Sus scrofa: one gene and its partner. The main gene of each other region encodes a partner of the protein of the gene in region 2 in a complex. Links are inferred from orthologs where the notes say so. Each region holds a gene or a part of one and is shown on either strand. Other genes may lie near its edges. The genes, in order: EIF3E and EIF3G.

Region 1 (11,454 bases), on a different chromosome or scaffold from region 2:
CCAGTTTCATTTTTTTTGCATTTAGCTGTCCAGTTTTCCCACCACTGTTTGTTGAGACTTTTCTTTCCCTGTTGTGTATGCTTGACTCCTTTGTCATAAATTAATTGACCATATATGATTGGGTTTATTTGTGGACTCTGTTCTCTATGTCTCTATATGTCTATTTTTATGCCGACAGCATACTGTTTTTGTTACTGTAGCCTTGTGATATAGTTTGAAATAAGGAATGTGATGCCTCTAGCCTTGTTTTGATTATTTGGGGGTTTATGTATTTCTTATTGAAGATAATTCAATATCACTTATCAGGAGCACTCATTAACTAAAAGATGTGTATAAGGGATTTACACAGAATATTTAAAATGTCTTCTTTAAGTGGCCTACTGATAGGATTGAGATTGTTATTGTAATCTAAATTATCTAGAAATTATTTTTGAGTTTAAAGTCTAGATTGATTAAGGTTTTTTTCTCAGAAATTCTGCATTTTGATATATTTTTATGTTTTTGTTAGTTTATTGATAGACTGAATTATTTTAAATAAAATAAGCATGATGTAGGATAGCTTAAGCCAGCATCTTATTTATTTAAGCTTTAATATTAAGGATATTAAATTTTATTTTGAAATCTAATTTTTTATAAAATCAGCAAAATGTAAGATAATTGTGGAGTTTGAGGGTTTCTGTTAATCATTTAATTTCTTTTGCTGTGTATATTTTCCTGTTACTTAAAAGAAACTGGATTATTGCCATATTCTCTAAATTATTCTTGGAGTGATTCGTAGCCTAGGTAACCTGAGATGCCATCAGTAATTTACTAATATTTCTTGGACCCTATTTCAAGTTTTTCTTTGACTTGATTTAGTAAGTAAAGGATCAACAATCATAGTGCAAAACAATAAATCCCCAAAGTGGGGTTATGGGTCAGCATGCAGACATTTATTTATGGTTCTTGATGCATTGTTACCACATTATTCCAGCCATGTTGGAATATGAGGCTTAGAATATGGATGTAAAGAAAGAAGAGGGATGGAGAATTCTAGTTGGAATTATATACAATTTCCTTTTTTTTTTTAATCTTAAAATTTGACTTTAAATATTTCCTAAGATAAACTGTCTCCAAACCTCCAGATTAGAGCTGGTTAAACCCTTTTGCATTCACATAGCTCCTTCCATTTTTTTCATCATTACACTTAACATAGCTTATGTATTTGGGGGATTAGGTAATTGTCCCCTACTCCTCAACCCCCAGCTCTAAAGTTTGTAAAGTGGGAAATAGATTATATGTTTTCACTGGCATCTACACAGTTCGTATTTTGTTGAATGAATGACAAGGAAGAAAGAGAATTGATTTGGTTTGGTTAGTGTTTGGTATTCATGAGGAGGACTCGGAGGAGGCTAGAAAGTTAGATTGTAGCTCAATTGTAGAGAACTATGAAAGATAAACTTCACAATTTGAATTTATTATTTTGGTAGAACGGCTCTATTAAAATTTTTTAAAAATTTCTGTGGGTTTTTTTGTCTTTTTAGGGCCACACCCATGGCATATGGAGGTTCTCAGGCTAGGAGTTGAATCTGAGCTGTAGCTGCTGACCTACACCACAGCTCATGGCAATGCTGGATCCTTAACCCACTGAGAAGGCCAGGGATTGAAACTGCATCCTCATGGATGCTAGTCAGATTTCATTTCCACTGAGCCATGATGGGAACTCCTCTATTATTAGTTTTGAATGAAATTTAGGAATAAACTGATAGTTGGGTTTTAGGATTAAGCTGGCAGCTATGTAAAATTGATTTAAGAAGAGACTCAAGAGGCAGGTTAATTAGAAAACTAGGAGACAGTAATGGAACCTGAACTAGGGTAATGACTAGGGTAGGAATCAGACAGTATTTATTAATTACTTCCTGTGTCCTGGGCATTGTGCTAATTCTGGATATATAGCCATGAACAAGGAAGCTATGGTGCGTGCTGTTGGGTTACATATACAGTCCATCATGAAAGCAGATATTTAACAAAACAACTACAGCTTTATGAATGCTCTGAAAAAATAGCAGGCTGTGAAAGCATCAGATGTGTCATGGTTGAGAGAGGTATCTTGGAAGACTGATGAGGGTGCTGTTTTATATGAGACCCATGTAACACATAGCTAAGTGAAGAGAAAGGTGGATGAACCTTTTAAGCAGAAGGCACAGCATGTGCCAAGGCCCTGAGGTGCTTCAAAACCTGGCATGTTTAGTGATTGTAGAGGTTCAGTCTGGCCAGAGGAGAGTCTTTCAAGAGGAGAGTAGCTTGGATCTCAGATCTAGTTAAAGAGATAATTATAGGACTTAATAGTTGGATATAGTTATCAAGAAGAGGAGTCTGATAACTTAGGCTTAAGACTAAGTATTTCATTATAATTTTAATTATGTAAACAACCTCCATAAGTAAGTTTTATGTTGTAATTTTTAAAAATCTTCATAAAACCAGCTATACACAGTAGCCACTAGGAATGTTTCTGTTTTTTAAAAGTATATAGAGATAGTGAAGGTTGAAGTTTTAATATATTTAGTACAAATTTTTTCATTTATCTTTTCAGAGTAAAATGGTCTTGGCCCCACTTTATTTTGTTAAAAAAATTTTTTAGTGGTAATAATTGTCACTTATCTGCTACTTGAAGGCACATCCTACAACTTGGAATGCTGTCCTCAAATCCTGAGAACTTACAGTGGCTGTATGCTTTAGACCTGCTCCTTGTCCAGTGGTGCCAACTTTGTTTTTTTCTTTTCCTTCTCCTTTCCCTTCTTATTTTAATTTCACCTCAGTCCTTTAGGCTTTTCCTAAAACCAAGGTTGCTGCAGTGGCTTAAATGTTGTTTCTTCCAATGTCTAGGACCGCTTTTGTCTTCCACACTGTTTTTCTTATGGTCTCTCAAGCCCACAGGGAAGCTCGGGATGGAGAATCATTCTAAGGGCTTTGCAGGTCCTAATGTAGGCTGTTGCTAGGGTTCAGGAAATCTGAGGAACATGCTTTTCTGGTTGAACAGCTCTGGCCAGGAGAATTCCACCTTCTGTCCACACTTTTTATCCCTCCACCACTTCTGCCTTATTGAAATTGTTCGGCAGTGTCATTCTGCAGCATCATATTTTCCCAGATCTTCTGGTGTTGAGGGAATTGGGGAGGATATGGGGGCTGCATCAAGCCCATGTTGGAAGGGTATGTGAGCAGAGATAATTATGGAGCAGGTTTCAGGCTCTTGAAAACCTGATGCCAGCTCCTTTGAGATCCTTTTCTCCCTTAAGAAGGTCATGCACTTCAGCATTAACATTTGTTTTAATGTTCTGAGATCAAAATTATCTTCCTGTTCTGCTGCTCTTGGAGGGTTAGCATCACAGAAGAGAAGGAAACATACACATCTCTAAAATAAGTCATGCACCAGCAGGAAACATAAGGAGTTTATTGAGGAGCCACAGGAAACACCAGCTGCAAGAATTTTTTACTAATCAAAAAAATTCCTGATTGTTTAAGTAAAATGACTTAATATTTCCCTACTTTTAGTTGTTAAAGTGAAGTGAGATTTGGTTAGAGAACAGTGATAAAGAAAATAAAGTGAAATCAGTTCAGAAATTGCATAGTCAGGGACTCATTTTTCTTTATGTTTGCTAAGACTGTGTACTTACAGCAAAATTGATCGTAAAAATCCAAAGAACAAAATTTGACATGTAAATCCAGGGAGTCTTATGGTTGAGTTGGCTCATACTCATCATCATGTTTTTAACTTCAGGCATATTTTAGAGATAAAATTGAAATGATTATGTCTTCATAGATTTAGTTTGTAATAATTTTATTGTTAGCATTAACTAATTTTTTACATTTTGAATGAAATTCTCCTACCTCTTTGTCAATAAATACATAAAATAAGGATGGCAAAGGTCTATATATATTATTCCCATAAAGGTATTTTTATTAACTTAATTGGTTATTTTTGTGTTGGTTGTTCTGGAATTACATAATTATATGATTGCAGTGTCTTGAATATTTATATTTTAAAATTGGGAATGCTATCAGATCAGGAAATTTTAGCTCGTAATATTCTAAGGAATTAATTTGTTATTGGTATTCTGGCTCTTTTCATTAAACTAGTATTAGCATTAGAAAGCCTGGCAAGTTTGTAAACCTAACGAAGACAAGCAAAAGGGGACAGTTAATGTTTCTGTTTAAACATTTGTATATGCATATACATATATATATTAGCTTCTTAAATACTATACATGCTTACATAGATACTCTTTAATTAGCTGACTGACTGACCTACTAGGCTTGTGCCTGTGTTAGTCCTGATAAGTTAAGCCCTGCAGCAGCCTCTTTTTCTGCCTGATCATAAATTAGAAAATGCAGATGACATCAAAGACATTAGTTCATAGATTTGGGTCTTGGTGTGTCTCATCTTTTTTCCTCCCCTTTCCTTTTCTTATGTTTTCTTTGTATGTTTGTCTGTCTCTTTTCCCTTAAATTCATTGGCCGTTAGGTTATATACTATACAATTCTAGGGAGTGTCTTCAAAATTTATAACACAAACATACATAGCGGCCCTGAGTTTTAGTTATGCTTTTCATTGTATTATAATTGTTACTGATGCTCCCTGTAATTGGTTTAATTTGTATACTCAAATATTTAATATTAAATATTAAACTGATACTCTACATCAGAAGATATTTTTCTTCTTTAGATCATTACTGGTTAAGCACCTGGTAAGTGTAAGATACTTTTCTGGAAGCTAAAAGAATTTCTGTAAATGCAGAATATGGGACACTTCCCTTAAAGATCTTACAATCTGATTGGTGAAATGAGATGGACTGTGAACAGTACAAGATAGTAATAGCACAAACATATGAACAGTAGTTTTAAAAGTCATAATATTTAAGATAAAGTGGCTCTTAAATACCTAAAAGTTTCTATACATAGTATAGGTCAAAGACTATGTATATAAAATAAAGCTTTTAGACTCAGTTAATGTCTTTTTTGTTTTTTAATTAGCATGTTGGCAGATAAACTGAATATGACTCCAGAAGAAGCTGAAAGGTGGATTGTAAATTTGATTAGAAACGCAAGACTGGATGCCAAGATTGATTCGAAATTAGTGAGTATTATGATAGCTTTGCTACATACTAGAGAGATTATTTTATATTTTGGAGGGGGGCTTTCATTAGGAAATCTATTCTTCTCTATTAAGAATTTATTCATGTATAGTAGTTCCTTGAAGGCAACAGCTACCTCCTGTTTTGTGTTATTAGATGAATATTGTCATCTCTCTACAGTTCAGAAAAATATGTGCAGCAGGCAGGTAGTGTTATGGTGTCATACTCATGACTTATGTGGGAAACTCAGTTGTTAACATTACAGGATCAATTTCCCTCTGTCTCATTTTAGGGTCATGTGGTTATGGGTAACAATGCAGTCTCACCCTATCAGCAAGTGATTGAAAAGACCAAAAGCCTTTCATTTAGAAGCCAGATGTTGGCCATGAATATTGAGAAGAAACTGAATCAAAATAGTAGGTCAGAGGTAAGAACCACACCTATTCTGTCTGGGATTTAGCAGTAATGTAACATAATTGTCAAAGGGGCTTCACTTGGAAACAAATTAATATTGGTTGTATCTGATTTTGTATTTGTTTATTGGGGGTATAAACTATTTTGTTTAAGAAATTACTAAACTGAAAAGACAAAAAAAAAAAAAAAAAAAAAAAGAGTTCCCGTCGTGGCGCAGTGGTTAACGAATCCGACTAGGAACCATGAGGTTGCAGGTTCGGTCCCTGCCCTTGCTCAGTGGGTTAAGGATCCTGCGTTGCCCTGAGCTGTGGTGTAGGTTGCAGACGTGGCTTGGATCCCGTGTTGCTGTGGCTCTGGCTTAGGCCAGTGGCTACAGCTCCGATTCAACCCCTAGCCTGGGAACCTCCATATGCTGCGGGAGCAGCCCAAAGAAATAGCAAAAAGACAAAAAAAAAAAAAAAAAAAGAAATTATAAACTGAAAAGAATTTCTCTTAGATATATTATGCATTAATCGAGGAAGGTAAAAAATGTGTTCGTAGTTTATTATATTTTTTTCCTTTACTTGTGTGCCTTCATTAACTCATTTCCTCGGTGTTTTCAGCACATTGTTTTGATACTGGCAAATGGTAATTTACATGTGTTGATCTCTTTCAAGTACTTGAAATTTGTGGTCCTTTTAAATCTAAAGAACTTCTTTGGAAGTGTTGACCTTATTATATCTGTTAACATTGATCTTATAGAATTTGATTTTTATCTGATATTCATATTTAACTGTCAGAAAAATATATCCCCCTTTTTGATAGAAATTTTGCATATTAGATATTAAAGGAATTTGAATGGCCTTGTTAAAAAGACAGAAGAATTAAGAAATTGTCCTTGCCTATTACAACCAAGTCTAGAATGATTGAACCTGAAAAATAACTTTTATACAATGGGTTTTTTTCCTACATGCTTATGGATCAGTCTATATTGATTTTCGTTATGGTATTGATGATACTGTCATTGTTATACTTTATAATTGGTCAAAAACTGTTCCAGGGTTTTTTTAAATTTATTTTATTGAAATATAGTTGATTTACAATCTTGTGTTAGTTTCTGATGTACAACAGAGTAATTCAGTTCTTTATGGATATACATGTGTATGTATGTGTATATGTACATACATACTCTTTTCCATATTCTTTTCCATTATGGTTTGTTACAGTATATTGAATATAGTCCCCTTTGCTATACAATAGGCCCTTATGTTTATTCTATATGTAATAATTTGCATCTGCTAATTCCAAACTCCTAATCTATTCCTCCCCACTCCTCTGCCCTTGGCAACCACAAGTCTGTTCTCTATGTCTGTGAGTCTCTTTTTGTTTCATAGATAAGTTCGTTTGTGTCATATTTTAGATTCCACACATAAGAGATATCATGTGGTATTTGTCTTTCTCTTTCTGACTTACTTGGTATGATAATCTTTAGGTCCACCCATGTTGCTTCACATAGCATTATTTCATTCTTTTTTATGGGTGAATAATATTCTGTTATATACCTAATCAGATGGTATTTTGATGTGTTTGTTTTGCTCTAAGTGAGACACCTCACATTTAGTAATTCCAGGATTTGTTAAAATCTTAAAGAATGTTGTAGAAGTAATGCTGAAAAAATGCTAGTGTCACTTTTTTCTAAGGTAGCTTTTCAGAAAATATTTTTCACTCTGTTTCTCTTTGTATTTTAGGCTCCTAACTGGGCAACTCAGGACTCTGGCTTTTATTGAAGATCTGTAAAGAAAAATGAAAAAAAACTGTAAAAGAAAGATGAAATAATAAAGCCATTATATAAAGGTGAAGCATTTTAGAAACAACATACTGATTATAAATTTTGGAGATTTTGAATAAAATTGGCTGTGTTTCATTTTATTTCCTTGTGTATGTAAGTGTTTGCTTTTTATTTTTAATTTTTTTAATTTTTTTGGTCCTGCATGCAGCAGTTTGATATGGATTAAACCCCAGCCACAGTGGTGAAAGTACAGAATCCTAACCACTAGCCCACTAGGGAACTCCTCAGTGTGTGCTTTTTTTACCTTTTCATTTTGGAATAATTATAGATTCACAGGAAGTTACAAAAATAGTACAGAGAGGTCCTATGCAACCTAAACCTAGTTCGTTTTTAATGTCAAAACTAGGATATTGACATTGGTACAGTGGTGTGAATAGCTCTGTGCCATTTGAGCATTTTTTTGTGTAACCATCACTGCAGTCAAGATATAGAGGTATCATCCTCATAAAGGTCTCCCTTATGCTACTACCCCTTTGGAGTCACATCCACTCCCTCCAGCTCTAACCTCTGGCAACCATCAGTCTGTTTTCTGTCTCAATAATTTTGTCATTATGTAGATGTTAATAGCAATGGAACCATACAACATGTAACTTCTTTGAGATTAGTTTTTTCTGCTCATGATACCCTTGAGATCTGTTCAAGTTAGATATATATGTATTCAAGTTATATATATATAAAACTATTCAAGTTATATATATATCAAGTTATATAACTATTCAAGTTGTATATGTATCAATAGTTTGTTCCTTTTTATTGCTAAGTTGTATTCCATGGTATTGATGTAACACATTGTTTAAATCCATGTACCTATTTTGGGAAATTTTGGTTGTTTGCAGATTGGAGCTAATAACAAATAAGCCTGCTGATAAAGTGCTGTTAGTTGAAGTGGCTTCTGCAGTCACTCTCTAGACAGCTACAGAGACTTAAATAGGATTATAAGTTGAATTTTAGAAATACCTCTCCTTGAATATCATACACACACACACACACACACACACACACACACACACACACACACACAGTTAACTGGCCACCTGTGATATTTAAGAAGTACATAAAGCCCTGGTTGGCTCTGCTTTACTTAGAAGTGATTTGATTTTCACTTCGATTGTTAAACTAAAACTCAGTCACATAAGAGAATTTTCTGTTTCTGCTCTCAAGGAATGGTACAAAGATAAAAAGATACTTGCATATTGTACCTGATCAGGCCACCCTCAATATACAGTTAAGTTTGAAGAAGGCAGGCCAGATTTGGGCTTTGTGCTGAGGTTTCAGACCTCTAGTCTGTAGTATTGGTTCTTCCAAACTATAACACAAAGATGCTGAAGCTAGGGGGGAGACTGCTGATCAAGGTATGCCAAATGCTAATTTTTGATTCATCTATAACTAGTGTTGTGAAAATGCCAAATCTAGAGGATGACTTGTATTACAAAATGATCAAGATTCATAGAGAAAATGTACCAAAATGTGGCATAGATAGAAACATACCCTTCTTTTTTTTTTTAAATAAGGAAAATTTCTTGAATTTCGTGTCATTCTTGCTCAGGGGCCATGCTAATCTTCTCTGTATCATTCCAATTTTAGTATATGTGCTGCCGAAGCAAGCATAAAACAGACGCTTCGCCTCATTGTAGGAGCTAATTCCCTGGGTCAAAAGTACAGATCTATAAGAAATGGAGCAATAGTTACATAAAACTGTATAAAATTGTATGTATTACTCAGGCTGTGTTAAAGTGGGAAGAATGTTAAAATGCCAATGTTTCTGTCTACCAATGACCCAAGGGCAAAATGTTCTTAAAGTCATCATTAATAGTCACTTTTTATCTTAAGACTTTTGCTCAACCAAGCCATGTTAATAGCAAAGATTTCTAGGTGATTATATCACCAGTAGTTAAAAGCAAGTCTGGCAGTTACTAGAAGTGTCTTAGAGGATGAGTAAAATCTGCAGGGAAAAAAGATAGGATGCTAATTCTAAGCATTTACTATGTGTCAGGCATTTTTACATCACTTTTTAATTTTTTTATTATTTTTATTTTTTCTTTTATAGTTGATTTACAATGTTCTGTCAATTTCTGCTGTACAGCAAGGTGACCCAGTCATGCATAGATATAGACATTCTTTTTCTCATATTATCCTCCATCATGTTCCATCACAAGTGACTAGATATAGTTCCCTGTGCCTTACAGCAGGATGTCATTGCTTATCCACTCCAAATACATCTATATATCTGAACAACCCTAAGGAAAAGAAAAGGAATGCAACATTTGAGTGCCACTGTAATTTTTGTGCTGATATTTGTATATTGATTAGGAAACACACAGGTGGTTACTCAGGGTCATACCTAGTAAATGTTAAAGCAAGGAATTGAAAACAGGCCTTTTCAGTTACACCATGTCTCCTTAGATCATTATTGCCTTATAAATCAATCCAGACTAAATTTACAAAGGGTTTAAAGAATATATGTTTAGTAGATTATAAATGAGGATCTTGATCCAGAAAACTATTCAAGTCCCTTGGCACCATTATCTTCAAATGAGAGGAAAGGGTGTTTTCATGTGTGTGTGTGTGTGTGTGTGTGTGTATAAAACTCCTGTGTAAAGATTTTAAACATACCTACTTAACCAAAATCTCCTTACTTAACCAAAATCTCCTCAGCTTAAGAAATTGAATGTTCGAAGTAACTCTGAAGAGCTCATGGGGCCCTCTCTGATTGTATTTTCCTTTGCCCCTGAGAAGTTAACCATTACCATTACCATGATTTTTATGGTATATGATATATATATATATATATATATATATATATGTATTTCCTTAAATTTCTTGGTAAGGAACACACACCATTAAGAAAAGTAAGGATATTAACACATTCCTATCAAAAATGTCTGGTTTTATGTATTTCAACATGTGTAGTTAATTGATAATACTTTGTATTCTGTGGCTTGCTTTGTCAATACTGAAATTTACCCATATTGATTTATTCTTGTTGGTATATTCAGCTCTAGTCTATTCGTTTTTAACTGCTTTCTAGTATCCCATTTTCTGAACGTACGTATTTCATTCAAGCATTGATAAACACAAGGTGTTTTCCAGCTTGTTATCTGGTGTTTTTGGAACCAGCCTGACGATCATGTGTTGCCTAACTGGAAGGTTAAATTCATTTCCTTTTATTGTGATTATGAATGTATATGGACTTATTTCTACATCTTATGAGCTTTCTGTATGTACCGCTTTGGCTCTTTTCCACCCTATTTTTTGCCTTCTGTTTTTTGGTTTTTTTTTTCTTTCTTCTACTAGTTGAGCAACTGAACGTTCTCTTTTTATAGTGGTCACCCTAGAAACTTTAGCCCTGTGTATTTTAGGGCATTCCAGTTATGATTGAGCGGTAACGAACCCAACTAGTATCCATAAGGACGCGGGGTTCAATCCCTGGCCTGGCTCAGTGGGGTAAGGATCCGGTGTAGCTGGCTTGGATCCTGTATGGCTGTGGCCGGCTGCTGTAACTCCAGTTCAACCCCCTAGCCTGGGAACTTCCATATGCTGCACGTGTGGCCCTAAAAAGCAAAACAAAAAAACATGTATTTTGGAACTTAATGCCTTAAAATTAGTATCTTTGGCCCCTGCCAACAATATGAAGAAAGCTTTTACTGTAGTTATCTTTCTCAGTTGTGTTCATCATCTTTCCTAATATAATCTTTTACTTTTATAAATTAGATATTATTTTAGACAATAATACCCTTTCTCTTGTTTATTCTCTTTGTAATTAGACTTTTTTTGTAAGTTGCTTTTAGGATCTCCTTTTCATTGGTGTACTATAGTTTTGCAGTGATGTGTCTCAGTGTGAATTTTATTTACTGGTAGTTACTCATTGGACCTCCTGATTCTGAAAATGCCTTTTGTCTTGTGTGAAAATTATCTCTTTGGATATTTTTTTCTTGATTCCTTAAGTTTTTGAGTTCTCACTCCAGAAAAACCTTCCCTTTCATATTTTTTATCTCTGTCATCTGTGCTGCATTGGGGTTTGGATAATTTCTTCAGCTCTGTCTTGTAACTCATTAATGATCTCTCCAACTGTGTCTAATTTGCTGTTAAATACATTCAGTT
Region 2 (12,530 bases):
CCACAACGGGAACTCCCATTTGTGTCATGTTTTAGATTCCACATATAAGTGATATCATACAGTATTTGTCTTTGTCTGACTTCGCTTAGTATGAGAATCTCTAGGTCCATCCATGTTACTGCAAATGGCATTATTTCATTCTTTTTTAAGGCTGAGTAGTATTCCACTGTGTATATGTACCACATCTTTTTTTTTTTTTTTCTTTTTAAGAAGTGGAATTTCCCAAACTAGGGGCTGAATCAGAGCTACAGCTGCCGAACTGCACCATAGCCACAGCGACACAGATTCAACCGTACCTGCAACCTACCTCACAGCTTGCAGCAATGCCCGATCCTTAACCCACTGAGCCACAAAAAAATCTGTGCATATATTCTAATGCATGGCTTTTTGTGGATGTGTTTCCAGTTCTTTTTTTTTTTTTTTTTGGTCTTTTTGCTATTTCTTTGGGCCGCTCCCTCGGCATATGGAGGATCCCAGGCTAGGGGTCTAATCGGAGCTGTAGCCATTGATCTACGCCAGAGCCACAGCAACACGGGATCCGAGCTGCATCTGCAACCTACACCACAGCTCATGGCAACGCCGGATCGTTAACCCACTGAGCAAGGGCAGGGACCGAACCCGCAACCTCACGGTTCCTAGTCGGATTCGTTAACTACTGCGCCATGACGGGAACTCCCGTGTTTCCAGTTCTTATGAAGAACATGGAGAAATCGAATTCCACCGGTGAGGTCCAGAGTTCCCTGTAGCTGCTGCTGAGTTTCCAGCAGGTGGTGCACCTTGCACATCCACACTTCCTTCCTCATGCCCTTTGCAGGATGCTCTCCTGGTTGCTGTGCTGTCCTATGGAGATTTTTCTTTTTTCTTTTCCTCCATTCCTGTGGCAATGTGGAAGTTCCCGGGCAAAGGATCGGAGCCCTGCCACAGCAGTGACAATGCCAGATCCTTAACCACTAGGCCACCAGGGAACTCCTCTTTGGAGATTCTGGAAGTGGAAAGAATGTCGGTGCCGTAAGGAAGGACCAAAAGAATGGTGATTTTTTTTTTTCCCCATCCAGCTTTGGACTCAGCCTTCTCCCCACTGCTCTATACTCCTTTGGCCCCCCTTGTACTTTTCCTTGGAAAATATCCGGGTTTTTTTTTTGTAAAAATAGTACATGCTTGATGTTTAAGAAAAAGTATGCCATACAGAAAGTTACTGAAAAGGAAGGGCAGGCAGACCTTGGAGATACTGCAGTTTCATTTCCAGACAATGGCAGGGAAGCACATATCAAAATAAGTACATAAATAATATGAATATTGCGAGTCACAAATTTTTGGTTTCCAGTGTATATAAAAGTAAACTGCAGGAGTTCCTGCTGTGGTACAGTGGATTAAAAATCTGACTGCAGCTGTGCCTAGGATTTGATCACTGGCCTGGGAACTTCCATAAGCTACAGATGGGTGTGGGGAAAAAAAATTGCTTCCTAGGGATCAGCAGGAGGCTTAACCTACTGAGTGAGGCCAGGGATCAAACCCCACATCCTCATGGATGCTAGTTAGCTTCTTAACCCACCTGACAAAAATTGGCTTACAAAAATTGCTTCCTAGGGAGTTCCCATTGTGGCTCAGCAGTAACCCAACTCGTATCCATGGGCACTCGGATTTGATCCTTGGCCTCACTCAGTGGGTTAAGGGTCCAGCATTGGGGTGAGCTGTGATGTAGGTCACAGAAGAGGCTCGGGTCCTGAATTGCTATGGCTGTGGTGTAGGCCGGCAGCTAAGCTCTGATTCAACCTCTAGCCTGGGAATGTCCATATGCCATGGGTGCCAGCCATTTAAAAAAAAAAAAAAAAGTTCCTATAGCATATGTCATTTTCTAGCTTGTTTACTCTCATCTTAGACATTTATTTATTTATTGTCTTTTTAGGGCCGCACCCATGGCATATGGACCTTCCCAGGCTAGGGATATAATTGGAGCAGCAGCTGCTGGCCTACACCACAGCCACAGCAATGCAGGAGTTTTAACCCACTGAGTGAGGCCAGGGATCAAACCGCGCATCCTTATAGATATTATTCGGGTTCTTAACCCACCAAGCCAAAATGGGAACTCCAAGATATATATTTTTTTAACATGTCCCACAAATGGATCTATTTCCTTAAAGACTGCATAGCACTTATATTGATGACAGAATAGCATAACTTGCTCTATTCAACCAACCTGGAATGGACAGATAGGCATTGCCAGTTTTTGCTATCATGAACAATACTGCCTGGATAGCTTATTCTCATATCTTTGTGTGTATTTACAAGTTTTTCTCACAGGCTGAATTATTAGCTGACTCAAAGGAAAATATATATGTGCATTTAAGTTTTAGTAGATATTGTCAACATTCCATCTAAGAGTTTACATAACCTCACATACTAAGAAAATATGGGAGAGTCTTTTTCTCTACATCTTTGCTACCATTGGGTAATAGCAATTTTTTACAGTTTTGCCCATCTGCTCCATTGTTTGGATTTTGTATTTCTTGGAGTAAACTTGAGTGAGGTTGCACAAATGTTTATTGGCCCTTTGTACAAACTTTGCATTTTTATCTGGGCTGCTAGACCACCCTCTTTCTTTTTTTTTTTTTTTTTTTTTTTTTTTTTGGTCTTTTTGCTATTTCTTGGGCCGCTCCCACGGCATATGGAGATTCCCAGGCTAGGGGTCCAATCGGAGTTGTAGCCACCGGCCTACACCAGAGCCACAGCAACACGGGATCCGAGCCGCGTCTGCAACCTACACCACAGCTCATGGCAACGCCGGATCGTTAAACCCACTGAGCAGGGGCAGGGATCGAACCCACAACCTCATGGTTCCTAGTCGGATTCATTAACCACTGCGCCACGACAGGAACTCCTTTTTTTTTCACCCTCTTTCTTTCACTCATTTTCCCAGCCTCCTTCCTGGTCTCCTACTTATTTATTCCTTTCCATTCTATTCTCTACATGCTTCCAGAATAATCTTTCTCATAAGAAAATCTGATTACATTGGTCACCACTCAAAATATGTCAGTGACCATACAGCCTGCAGGGTAAAGAGCCTATCCTCCTTAACCTGATTTAAAAATTCTTTTAGGAGTTCCCTGGTGGCCTAGTAGTTTAGGATCTGGCACTGTCACTGCTGTGGCTCTAGTCACTACTGTGGTATGAGCTCAATCCCTGGCCTGGGAACTTCCAAATGCCACAGATGAGGCCAAAAAAAAGTTATTTATAATCTGGTTCCTGTCCCATCCCAAATGTCCATTAATTGAACACATACTAAGTACAGACACCCCATGGGTGTTGGGGACCCAGAGATGACCCAAATAGGCAAATGTCTGCTTTCTGCAGCTGGCATTCGTGAGCAGTTTTTCTCAACTATTTTTTCATTATTGCTCCTTTCTAGGTGAGAAATGGAATTATCCTTAATTAATTAATTTTGTCTTTTTAGGGCCACACATGCAGCATATGGAGGTTCCCAGGGTAGGGGTGGAATTGGAGCTATAGCTGCTGGCCTATGCCACAGCAACATGGGATCTGAGATGGGTCTGCAACCTACACCACAGTTCATGGCAACATCAGGTCCTTAACCCATTGTGCAAGGCTACGGATCCAATCTGCATCCTCATGGATGGGAGTCAGTTTTGTTGTTTTTTAATTTATTTAATTTATTTATTTGTCCTTTGTCTTTTTAGAGCTGTACCTGTGGCATATGGAGGTTCCCAGGCTAAGGGTCTAATCAGAGCTACAGTTGCTGGCCTACGCCAGAGCCACAGCAACACCAGATCTGAGCTGTATCTGCAACCTGTACCACAGCTCACGGTAACACCGGATCCTTAACCCACTGAGCAAGGCCAGGGATTGAACCCACAACCTCATGGTTCCTAGTCGGATTTGTTTCCGCTGCACCATGATGGGAACTCCTGGATGGGAGTCAGTTTCGTTTCCACTGAGCCACAACTGAACTCCTATCCTTAATTTAAATCAATTTAATCTAATTACATTTAATTTTCCCCTAACAATAGAAATTAAATATTCATAAGTAATATTTTGTCCTGGAGGGTTGGCTTAGGAGGGCTATAAGCCATCACAATGTCTAAGGTTTTTTTTTAAGCCATCTAAGAATTTATTTTGGCTCTCTTGGGAGCCATATCACTCCCGTTGAGAATGCTCTAGGGGGACAGCTGGATTATAAACAAGTAAATGGAAAAGATTATATTAGAGAAGCCAAGAATGTTACTAAAGGAGGGAGGGATTTTCCCCAGTGGCTCAGTGGCTTAAGGATTTGGTGTTGTCACTGCTGTAACTCTGGTCACTGCTGTGGCACAGGTTCCATCCCTGGCCTGAGAACTGCCAAAAAAAGAAACAAACAAAAAAAGATGGAGTTCCCATAGTGGCTCAGCCATAAGGAACCCAACTAATATCCATGAGGATGTGGGTTCAATCCCTGGCCTAACTCACTGGGTTAAGGATTCAGTGTTGCTGTGAGCTGTGGTGTAGGTCGCAGATGAAGCTCAGATATGGCGTTGCTGTGGCTGTGGTGTAGGCCAGCAGCTGTAGCTCCGATGAGACCCCCTAGCCTAGGAACCTCCATATGCTGCAGGTGCAGCTCTAAAAGGAAAAAAAGGAAAGGAGGGAGAATGGTTGAAGGGGCCACTTGACTGCTTGATCATTTTGAATCAGGAAAGCTCTTCCATCGCTTCTCGGCCTTTTGGCTAAGATCAAGTGTAGGAAAGCTCTTCCCAAACAAGGAAGACTAGCTTTGGTTTCTTCAGCTGTAAAATGGAAATAATTTTCTCTCCACAGTTCTCGCAGAATTCAATAACTGAGCTTTATTGCTATTAATAACTTTTTTTTGTCTTTTTAGGGTCGCATCCACCACCATGCAACATACGGAGATTTTAGGGCCTAACCCACACCCGTGGCAAATGGAGTTTCCCAGGCTAGGGACTGAATCATGGCTGTAGCTGCTGGCCTACGCCACAGCCACAGTAACACAGGATCTGAGCCTCGTCTGTGACCTACACCACAGCTCAGAGCAACGCTGCATCCTTAACCCACTGATCAAGGCCAGGGATCAAACCTGCATCCTCATGGATTCTAGTCAGATTCATTTCCACTGAGCCATGATGGGAACTCCTGTTATTAATAACTTTAAATTTTTTAAAAGGTAAATGAATTAGAAAACTATATATAGAACTACCATATGACCCAGCAATCCAACTCTTGGGCACATATCCAGAGAAAACTGTCCTTGAAAAAGATACATGCGCCCATATGTTCATTGCAGCACTATTTGCAATAGCCAAGACTTGGAAACAACCTAGATGTCCATCGACAGATATGGATTAAGAAGATGTGGTATATATACACAATGGAATACTACTCGGCCATAAAAAAGAACAAAATAATGCCATTTGCAGCAACATGGATGGAACTAGAGACTCTCATACCAAGTGAAATAAGTCAGAAAGAGAAAGACACATACTCTACAATATCCCTTGTATCTGGAATCTAATATATGGCACAAATGAAAGTTTCCACAGAAAAGAAAATCATGGACATGGAGAACAGACTGGGGTTACCAAGGGGGAGGGGGAGGGAGTGGAATGTACTGGGAACTTGGAGTTAATAGATGCAATCTATTGCCTTTGGAATGGATAAGCAATGAGATTCTGCTGTACAGCACTGGGAACTATATCTAGTCACTTATGATGGAGCATGATAATGTGAGAAAAAAGAATGTATACATGTATGTGTGACTGGGTCACCTCGTTGTACAGTAGAAAATTGACATAACACTATAAACCAGCTATAATGGAAAAAATAAAAATCATTAATTAAAAAAAGAAGATAAATGAGTTCTTGCTGTGGTGTTGCTGGTTAAGGACCTGGACTTGCTACAGCTGTGACATTGGTCACAGCAGCGGCTGGGATTTGATACCTGACCGGGGAAACTTCCATACGCCACCCGCGGGGCCAAAAAAAAATGGTTAGAACTGCGCCTCTACTCAACTACCTAGTACCAGAGCCCAGCCTCTAATAAGCCAGCGCCTCTACCTCTGTCCACAGGGCGGCACTGTGGGCGCAGCGGCCGGGCTGCTCTAGGCGGCAGAACCGGAAGTCTCGTTCTCCCCACCTTCCGGTCTTTGGCCCAGGCTTGGGCTGCGTGGGGAAGGTTTTAGCTATGCCTACCGGAGACTTTGAGTGAGTATGAGGTCGTGGAGGGGGGCTTGGGAGGCAGATTGGGGGTCCTAGGGCGTATTATGGGGCTCGGGTGCCCCGAGGCCGTGGGATCCGGGCCTCGTCTCACCCAGCCTTCCCCCGCGGCAAACTTGTCCCCGCAGTTCGAAGCCCAGTTGGGCCGACCAGGTGGAGGAGGAGGGAGAGGACGGTGAGTTTGCCCTGTTGCCCAGGATCACCGCAGCCAGCCCCCAGCCCGTCACTGCCGCCTGCTCCAACCCCACCACCCCGACCCTGGCGCCGTTGTCTGACCCAGAATCTCCCTTCACGGCCAGCCCCTGCCCCGCGCCATCCTCATCAGGCCAGCCTGTATCTCCCATTACAGTTGTTCACCGGCCAGTCCCTCTTCCTCCCATGCCACCGTCAAAGTCCTTGGTACCAGCCTAGCTGCTCCCCTGCTCCGGGGAGGAAGTTGTCACAGCCTCTCTCCTGTCTTTGTACTAGCACGGGGATGCCTTTGGCCCGCCCCTGCCTTCATGCCTGGGATCCTCTATGCCGGGCATTGCTGGAAGTCACTACAGTCAGCTCCATGTCCCTGCACGACTCTCCCAGGACACTTCCTGGCTAGTCCCCTACCCTTGGTCCCACCTTTCTTAGCTCCCGGGAGGGGCATCATCCCAAAGGTCCCTCCATTTCAGCTTGGGAGCTCCCCCACCCCCCAGCTGACCCCAGCTCCCCACACTCCCTCTCACAGACAAATGTGTCACCAGCGAGCTCCTCAAGGGAATCCCTCTGGCCACCGGGGATACCAGCCCGGAGCCTGAACTACTACCGGGAGGTGAGTGACAACCTCCCCGCCATCCCTGGGTTGCCTCTTCCCCTGCAGAGTTCCTGCCTGGTCCCCAGTACCCAGGGCTCAGTTCCTCTGTCTCTCCCCCTCTCCCAGCTCCACTGCCACCTCCCAAGGAGGTCATCAATGGAAACATCAAGACAGTGACCGAGTACAAGATAGATGAGGACGGCAAGAAATTCAAGGTGAAGGTTGGGGGAGGAGGTAGATGCCCTTTGCTTGGGGGCTCTTGGACTAGGAGAAAGTGGTGTGTGCTGGGTGGGTTGATGAGGAAGATACCCTGGCCCAGGCCCTCGGAACCTTAAGGAGCAGGAAGCTCAAATTTCTCCCCTCTCCTACCCACAGATTGTCCGCACCTTCAGAATTGAGACTCGGAAGGCCTCAAAGGCTGTGGCAAGGAGGAAGGTAAGACCCTCCTCATCCTGTCTTGGGGCCTCCCCCAGGGCTGACTCAGAGAAAATAAGAATCCTTTTCCCCAGTGCCTGTATTTATTTGGCTATGCCCGGGGCATATGGAAGTTCCCGGTTTACGGGTTGAATCAGAGCTGCAGCTGCCAGCTTACACCACAGCTACAGCGACTCGTGATCGTAGCCACACCTGTGACCTAACCCACAGCTCAGGGCGATGCCGTGTCCTTAACCCACTGCGCAAGGCTGGGAATCGAAGCCATGGATACTGCTGAGCCATAATGGGAACTCCTTAACTGTACCAATTTTGTTGGAGCGGAACTGAGGCCTAAGGGTGTTTGCACTCTGTCGGGGTCCTGAAAAGCCCAGCATGTGCAGGAGTAGGGGGGGTTGTCCGCCAGCAGAAACAAAGCCAAGTCCTCCCCTGAGATGGTCGTAGCAGAAAAAGTCATGGCAGTAAATACATTTGGCACAATTACCTGTGCGCTTTCTCTGCGTTAGACCCAAGCTCTTTGCAGGAAGCGTTTTCCCATTCAGTTCCCCTGGAATTCCAGGGAGGTGGGGGTCCATTGGGGTCCCTTTTCCTGGAGGAGGCAGCTAGGGTTCAGATTGCTTAGCTAGCTCTGGGCCCCTGGAAGTCTGGGTGACCCCTACGCACCCTTGAGCATCACTCCCTGGTAGGAGCTGGTCCGCTACCTGCACCACCCCAGCAGGAGTTGTTGGCTGTGGAGGGGATTGTCCCTGAGCCTCAGTCCTCTAATCTGGAGCATGGAGCCTAGAGCTGCCCTTGCCTCTGGAACTGGTGTGAAGCTAGGGCCTGGCATGCGCTCAGGGAACAGGAACTGTCTTTGTCACTGCTCTGAGGGTCATTTGGGGGAGGCTGGAGAATGGGGTTCAAGGCCCTGGAGCAGACATTGTAAGTCTAGGGAGCCAGCAGAGGGGTCCTGCTTGGCCTTGCTCTGACTTGTCTCTCATCCCACCCTGAGCTCAGAACTGGAAGAAGTTTGGGAACTCAGAGTTCGACCCACCAGGGCCCAATGTGGCCACCACCACGGTCAGTGATGATGTGTCCATGACATTCATCACCAGCAAAGAGGTAAGTAGGCCAGGAGGCTGGGGCCAGTGGCCAGGGTGGTGGCGGCAGTGGCGGGGGGTGCGGCAGTCCCGTCTGAGCTGCCTCTGCCTGCCCTGCCAGGATCTGAACTGCCAGGAAGAGGAGGACCCAATGAACAAGCTCAAGGGCCAGAAGATCGTGTCCTGCCGAATCTGCAAGGGCGACCACTGGACCACCCGCTGCCCCTACAAGGACACACTGGGGCCCATGCAGAAGGAGCTGGCCGAGCAGCTGGGCCTGTCTACTGGCGAGAAGGAGAAGCTGCCTGGAGGTGCTGGGGCCTGGGGACTCGGGGGACAGGGATTGTGTTCACCTCCAGGAGAGTTGTAGGTTGTCACCTGCTGTCTGAACAGGGCCACCGCTGTTGGCAGTTGTCATCTCCCACACAACAGCAAGGCTGCAGCCACAGTCCATGCTTGTGTGTGTGTATGAGAGAGACTGGCGGTGGCTGCTGTGACTGCTGGCGATGTCCCCTGTCCTCTCCTCATTAGGGGCTGTGAGAGCGGCTCGTGTAGGCTTGCACATAATAAATACACTTTGCCTGCAGTGTCTGCATGCACACACCCAGGGCAGACTCACTCATGTGACTGTAAGTTTGAGTCTGGACAGCTCTACGCCCCTGACTTATGTGTGCGACTCATTTGTCACCTGCCGTGTGTGTGTTGGGGGACAGGGGGTGGAACCTGGGGACTGTCCCTATCCCGTGTACCTGTATTTGTGTTCCTATGTTGTGAGACTGGGTGTCACTGTGGGTTCTCACTTCTTGTGCTGCTGGCGGGTGTATAAATGACGTCGGCTTCCCGGATGTGACTTTTAAGTTGTGGCCCTCAGGCCTCGAAGGGCCCAACCGTGTGTGTGGTTTGACAGACGGCTCTTGGGCTGGATGGTGGCCAGAGCTGCCGGCATCCTGGGGCAGATGGGTCCCTCCATCTGTGCCGGGAGAGGCTTGACCCGACCTTGTTGTCCTCCAGAGCTGGAGCCTGTGCAGGCCACACAGAACAAGACGGGCAAGTACGTGCCTCCAAGCCTGCGGGACGGGGCCAGCCGCCGCGGGGAGTCCATGCAGCCCAACCGCAGAGGTGAGGGCACCCAGTTGCCGGGCCGGCGGGGGCGGGCACTTCCCTGTATCCTGTGATCATCCCACGGGCAGGCGCGGCCCCTCACAGACACCTCTCCTTGCCCACTCAGCCGATGACAATGCCACCATCCGTGTCACCAACCTGTCTGAGGACACTCGTGAGACCGACCTGCAGGAGCTCTTCCGGCCCTTTGGCTCCATCTCCCGCATCTACCTAGCCAAGGACAAGACCACTGGCCAGTCCAAGGTGGGCTGGTGGCCATGGGGATGGGGAGGGATCCTTGGTCCTGTCTGTGCCCCATGTGCCCCTGACTCCACCCCCTCCTCCAGGGCTTTGCCTTCATTAGCTTCCACCGCCGTGAGGATGCCGCCCGTGCTATTGCTGGGGTGTCTGGCTTCGGTTATGACCACCTCATCCTCAACGTCGAGTGGGCCAAGTAAGACCCCTGCCCCTCCCCCCACACAGCGTCACTGCTGACACTCAGGCTGGCTGCAGGCCCTGCACCAGGTTAACATTCACCATGCCTGTCCTGGGGCACAGATCATTTATTGTCCTTTTCCTCTGGTGTGGAGGGTTGGGGCAGGACCAGGCTGGTCACTGCCGGTCTGTCTCTTTGTGTGTCCTGGGCCACCACCTTGTCTCACTCTGCCCCACCCCCCATCCCTTTTGAGGTCCCTATTGTGTGTGGCGGTGGGGGGTCTTGGGATTCTCTTAGGGGTATGAAGCCTCTCCGCTAACCATTCTCAGCCACCTCACGTCTCTCTCTCTCTCTAGGCCGTCAACCAACTAAGCCAGCTGCTGCTGCTCCGTCCCCAGCCCTGGGATCCTTCAGTGACCGAAGGCTGGGGGCAGGGGTCTCCAAGGGTAATAAAAAATCTCCAGTTGCCCAGTGCTGTTCCATTTATTCACAGATGTCGCTCACACTGTTGGGGGGTGGGGCCATCCTGCCCTCCTTCCTCCCCCTCCCTGATGTGGGTTTATTTCCTGGCCCTGTCCAGAGTTGGTGCTGTGGCAGAAGTTCCTGCCACTCTGGCTTCAGTGCTCCCTGGTCCCACTCTAGACCTTTCTGTGGAGGAGTACGCTTAGGGCCTATTGAGGATTCAGGGCCAGGGGCCTGCTGTGCTCTCAGCCCCTATTCTTTTGCCAGGTCCCAGGATCTGGTGATGAGGAGGGGGCTAGAGATGGTCCAGGTCATGGGCTCAACTCAGGGGACTGGGGCCCTGAGGTTTTGGGAGTAGCTGTGACATTGAGTGGCAGGGATTGGCTGGAGCACTCGGCCTTCTCCGGGGTCTGGCCCTCCCTGCAGCCAAGGCAGTGTTGGCGGCAACAGCCCAGGCTGGGCACCACCGCCATGTAGAGCAGCGGGTGGATGCAGATGGCCAGGGGGATGAGGCCCCGTGTTACCTGGTAGGCCACATATGTCCTCCAGTCCAGTGCCTTCTCAGCCTGGGCTGTGCTTGTGAAGCCTGGGCAGAGGGCCCTCCAGCGCTGCCGGGCATACACGTTGAGCACCTGTGTGACATAGTAGGGCACATAGGAACTAGCATAGAGGGCCACACCACTGGCTACCAGCACTATCACGTGCAGCTTGTTGGCCGCTGTCATGCCGTGGCTACGCCGCACGGCCCGCCCCAGGGCGCCATAGGCTGCCAGGTTGAGCAGCAGCGGCAGGCCACAGCCCAGGGCCAGCAGCACCAGGCCATAGACTCTGTAGGCCTCAAGCTGGTTGTCATCTGCCGTTCCTAGGCACTTGATGCAGGCCTCCGGTGTGGCCACAGTGCACCTGCCTTCCTGCTTCGGCCTCTTCAAGTGGGAGAAGCTGAGTGTGGGTGCAGCCAGCAGGGCTGCCAGCACCCAGCCAGCAGTGCTGATGGCCCAGGCGTGCTTGGGCTGCAGTTGGCTGTGGGTGAAGAAGGGATGGACAATGCCCAGATAGCGGTTGAGGCTGATGCAGGTGATGAAGATGACGCTACCCAGCAGGTTGCAGGTGAAGAGGAAGCGCTCCAGGCGGCAGGTGACCTCCCCATAGCGCCAGTGTTTGGGTGGGTAGAAGTAGGCAGCCAGCGGGGGTAGTGTCAGGGCATAGAGCAGGTCGCTGATGGCCAGTTGGGCGGAGAAGATCACGGCTGGGTGCCATGGGCGCTGCTCCCGTGTGCAGAAGCGGTACAAGGCCAGACTGTTGCCAGCAAGGGCCACCAGGAACTCAGCTACCAGCATGGGCCACAGAAAGTCTTCCTGGAAGCCACTGAGGATGCGGTCAGCAGCCGCTGAGAAGTGGGCTGGACAGTCCTTATCACCTGTGGGCAGAGGGTGTTGCTGAGTGAGCCCTGTCCCTGAACCTGGCACCTGCTCCCTTCAGAGTTCCAAGTGCCTCTGGCACCACATACCTACCACAGACTGGGCCTGCATCAGCCCTATGCGAGCCCAGTTTCACTGAGTGCTTTTTCACACCTGGCAGTGGGCACCAGCCACAGCTCCTTTGTGTGGAGGAAATCGGAGGCCCGGATAGAGGCCTTTCATTCAGCTGATGGTTACCAGGTTCTCTTTGTGTCCCGCACCATCAAGAACCAGCTGGGGAGAGTTCCCATTGTGGCTCAGTGGGTTAAGAACCCGATTAGTGGCCATGAGGATGTGGGTTCGATCCCTAGCTTTGCTCAGTGGGTCAGAGATCCCATTAAGGAGTTCCCGTTGTGGCTCAGTGGAAACAAATTTGACTAGCATCCATGAGGATGCGGGTTCGATCCCTGGCCTCACTCAGTGTGGGTTGAGGATCTGGCGTTGTGATGAGCTGTGATATAGGTTGCAGACGCAGCTTGGATTCTGAGTTGCTGCGGCTGTGGTGTAGGCTGGCAGCTACAGTTCCAATTTGACCCCTAGCCTGAGGGGCTAAAAAGACA

Evidence for each region.
Region 1: EIF3G (region 2) and EIF3E share a complex: the UniProt entries of both Homo sapiens proteins name them as parts of the eukaryotic translation initiation factor 3 (eIF-3) complex. The link is inferred for Sus scrofa from reciprocal best matches to the Homo sapiens genes EIF3G and EIF3E.

Annotation. Positions count from the first base shown.
Region 1 is NC_010446.5:29,336,161-29,347,614, forward strand, and holds the end of EIF3E (eukaryotic translation initiation factor 3 subunit E), read left to right. Parts: intron 1-5,010; coding exon 5,011-5,113; intron 5,114-5,403; coding exon 5,404-5,538; intron 5,539-7,252; coding exon 7,253-7,291; 3' UTR 7,292-7,433; downstream 7,434-11,454. UniProt on the Homo sapiens protein: Component of the eukaryotic translation initiation factor 3 (eIF-3) complex, which is required for several steps in the initiation of protein synthesis.
Region 2 is NC_010444.4:68,964,213-68,976,742, reverse strand, and holds EIF3G (eukaryotic translation initiation factor 3 subunit G), read left to right. Parts: upstream 1-6,094; 5' UTR 6,095-6,187; coding exon 6,188-6,207; intron 6,208-6,347; coding exon 6,348-6,394; intron 6,395-6,937; coding exon 6,938-7,021; intron 7,022-7,129; coding exon 7,130-7,218; intron 7,219-7,378; coding exon 7,379-7,438; intron 7,439-8,431; coding exon 8,432-8,536; intron 8,537-8,635; coding exon 8,636-8,825; intron 8,826-9,525; coding exon 9,526-9,633; intron 9,634-9,742; coding exon 9,743-9,879; intron 9,880-9,962; coding exon 9,963-10,069; intron 10,070-10,407; coding exon 10,408-10,423; 3' UTR 10,424-10,522; downstream 10,523-12,530. Other genes in the region: P2RY11 (P2Y purinoceptor 11), read right to left, coding at 10,825-11,930. UniProt on the Homo sapiens protein: RNA-binding component of the eukaryotic translation initiation factor 3 (eIF-3) complex, which is required for several steps in the initiation of protein synthesis.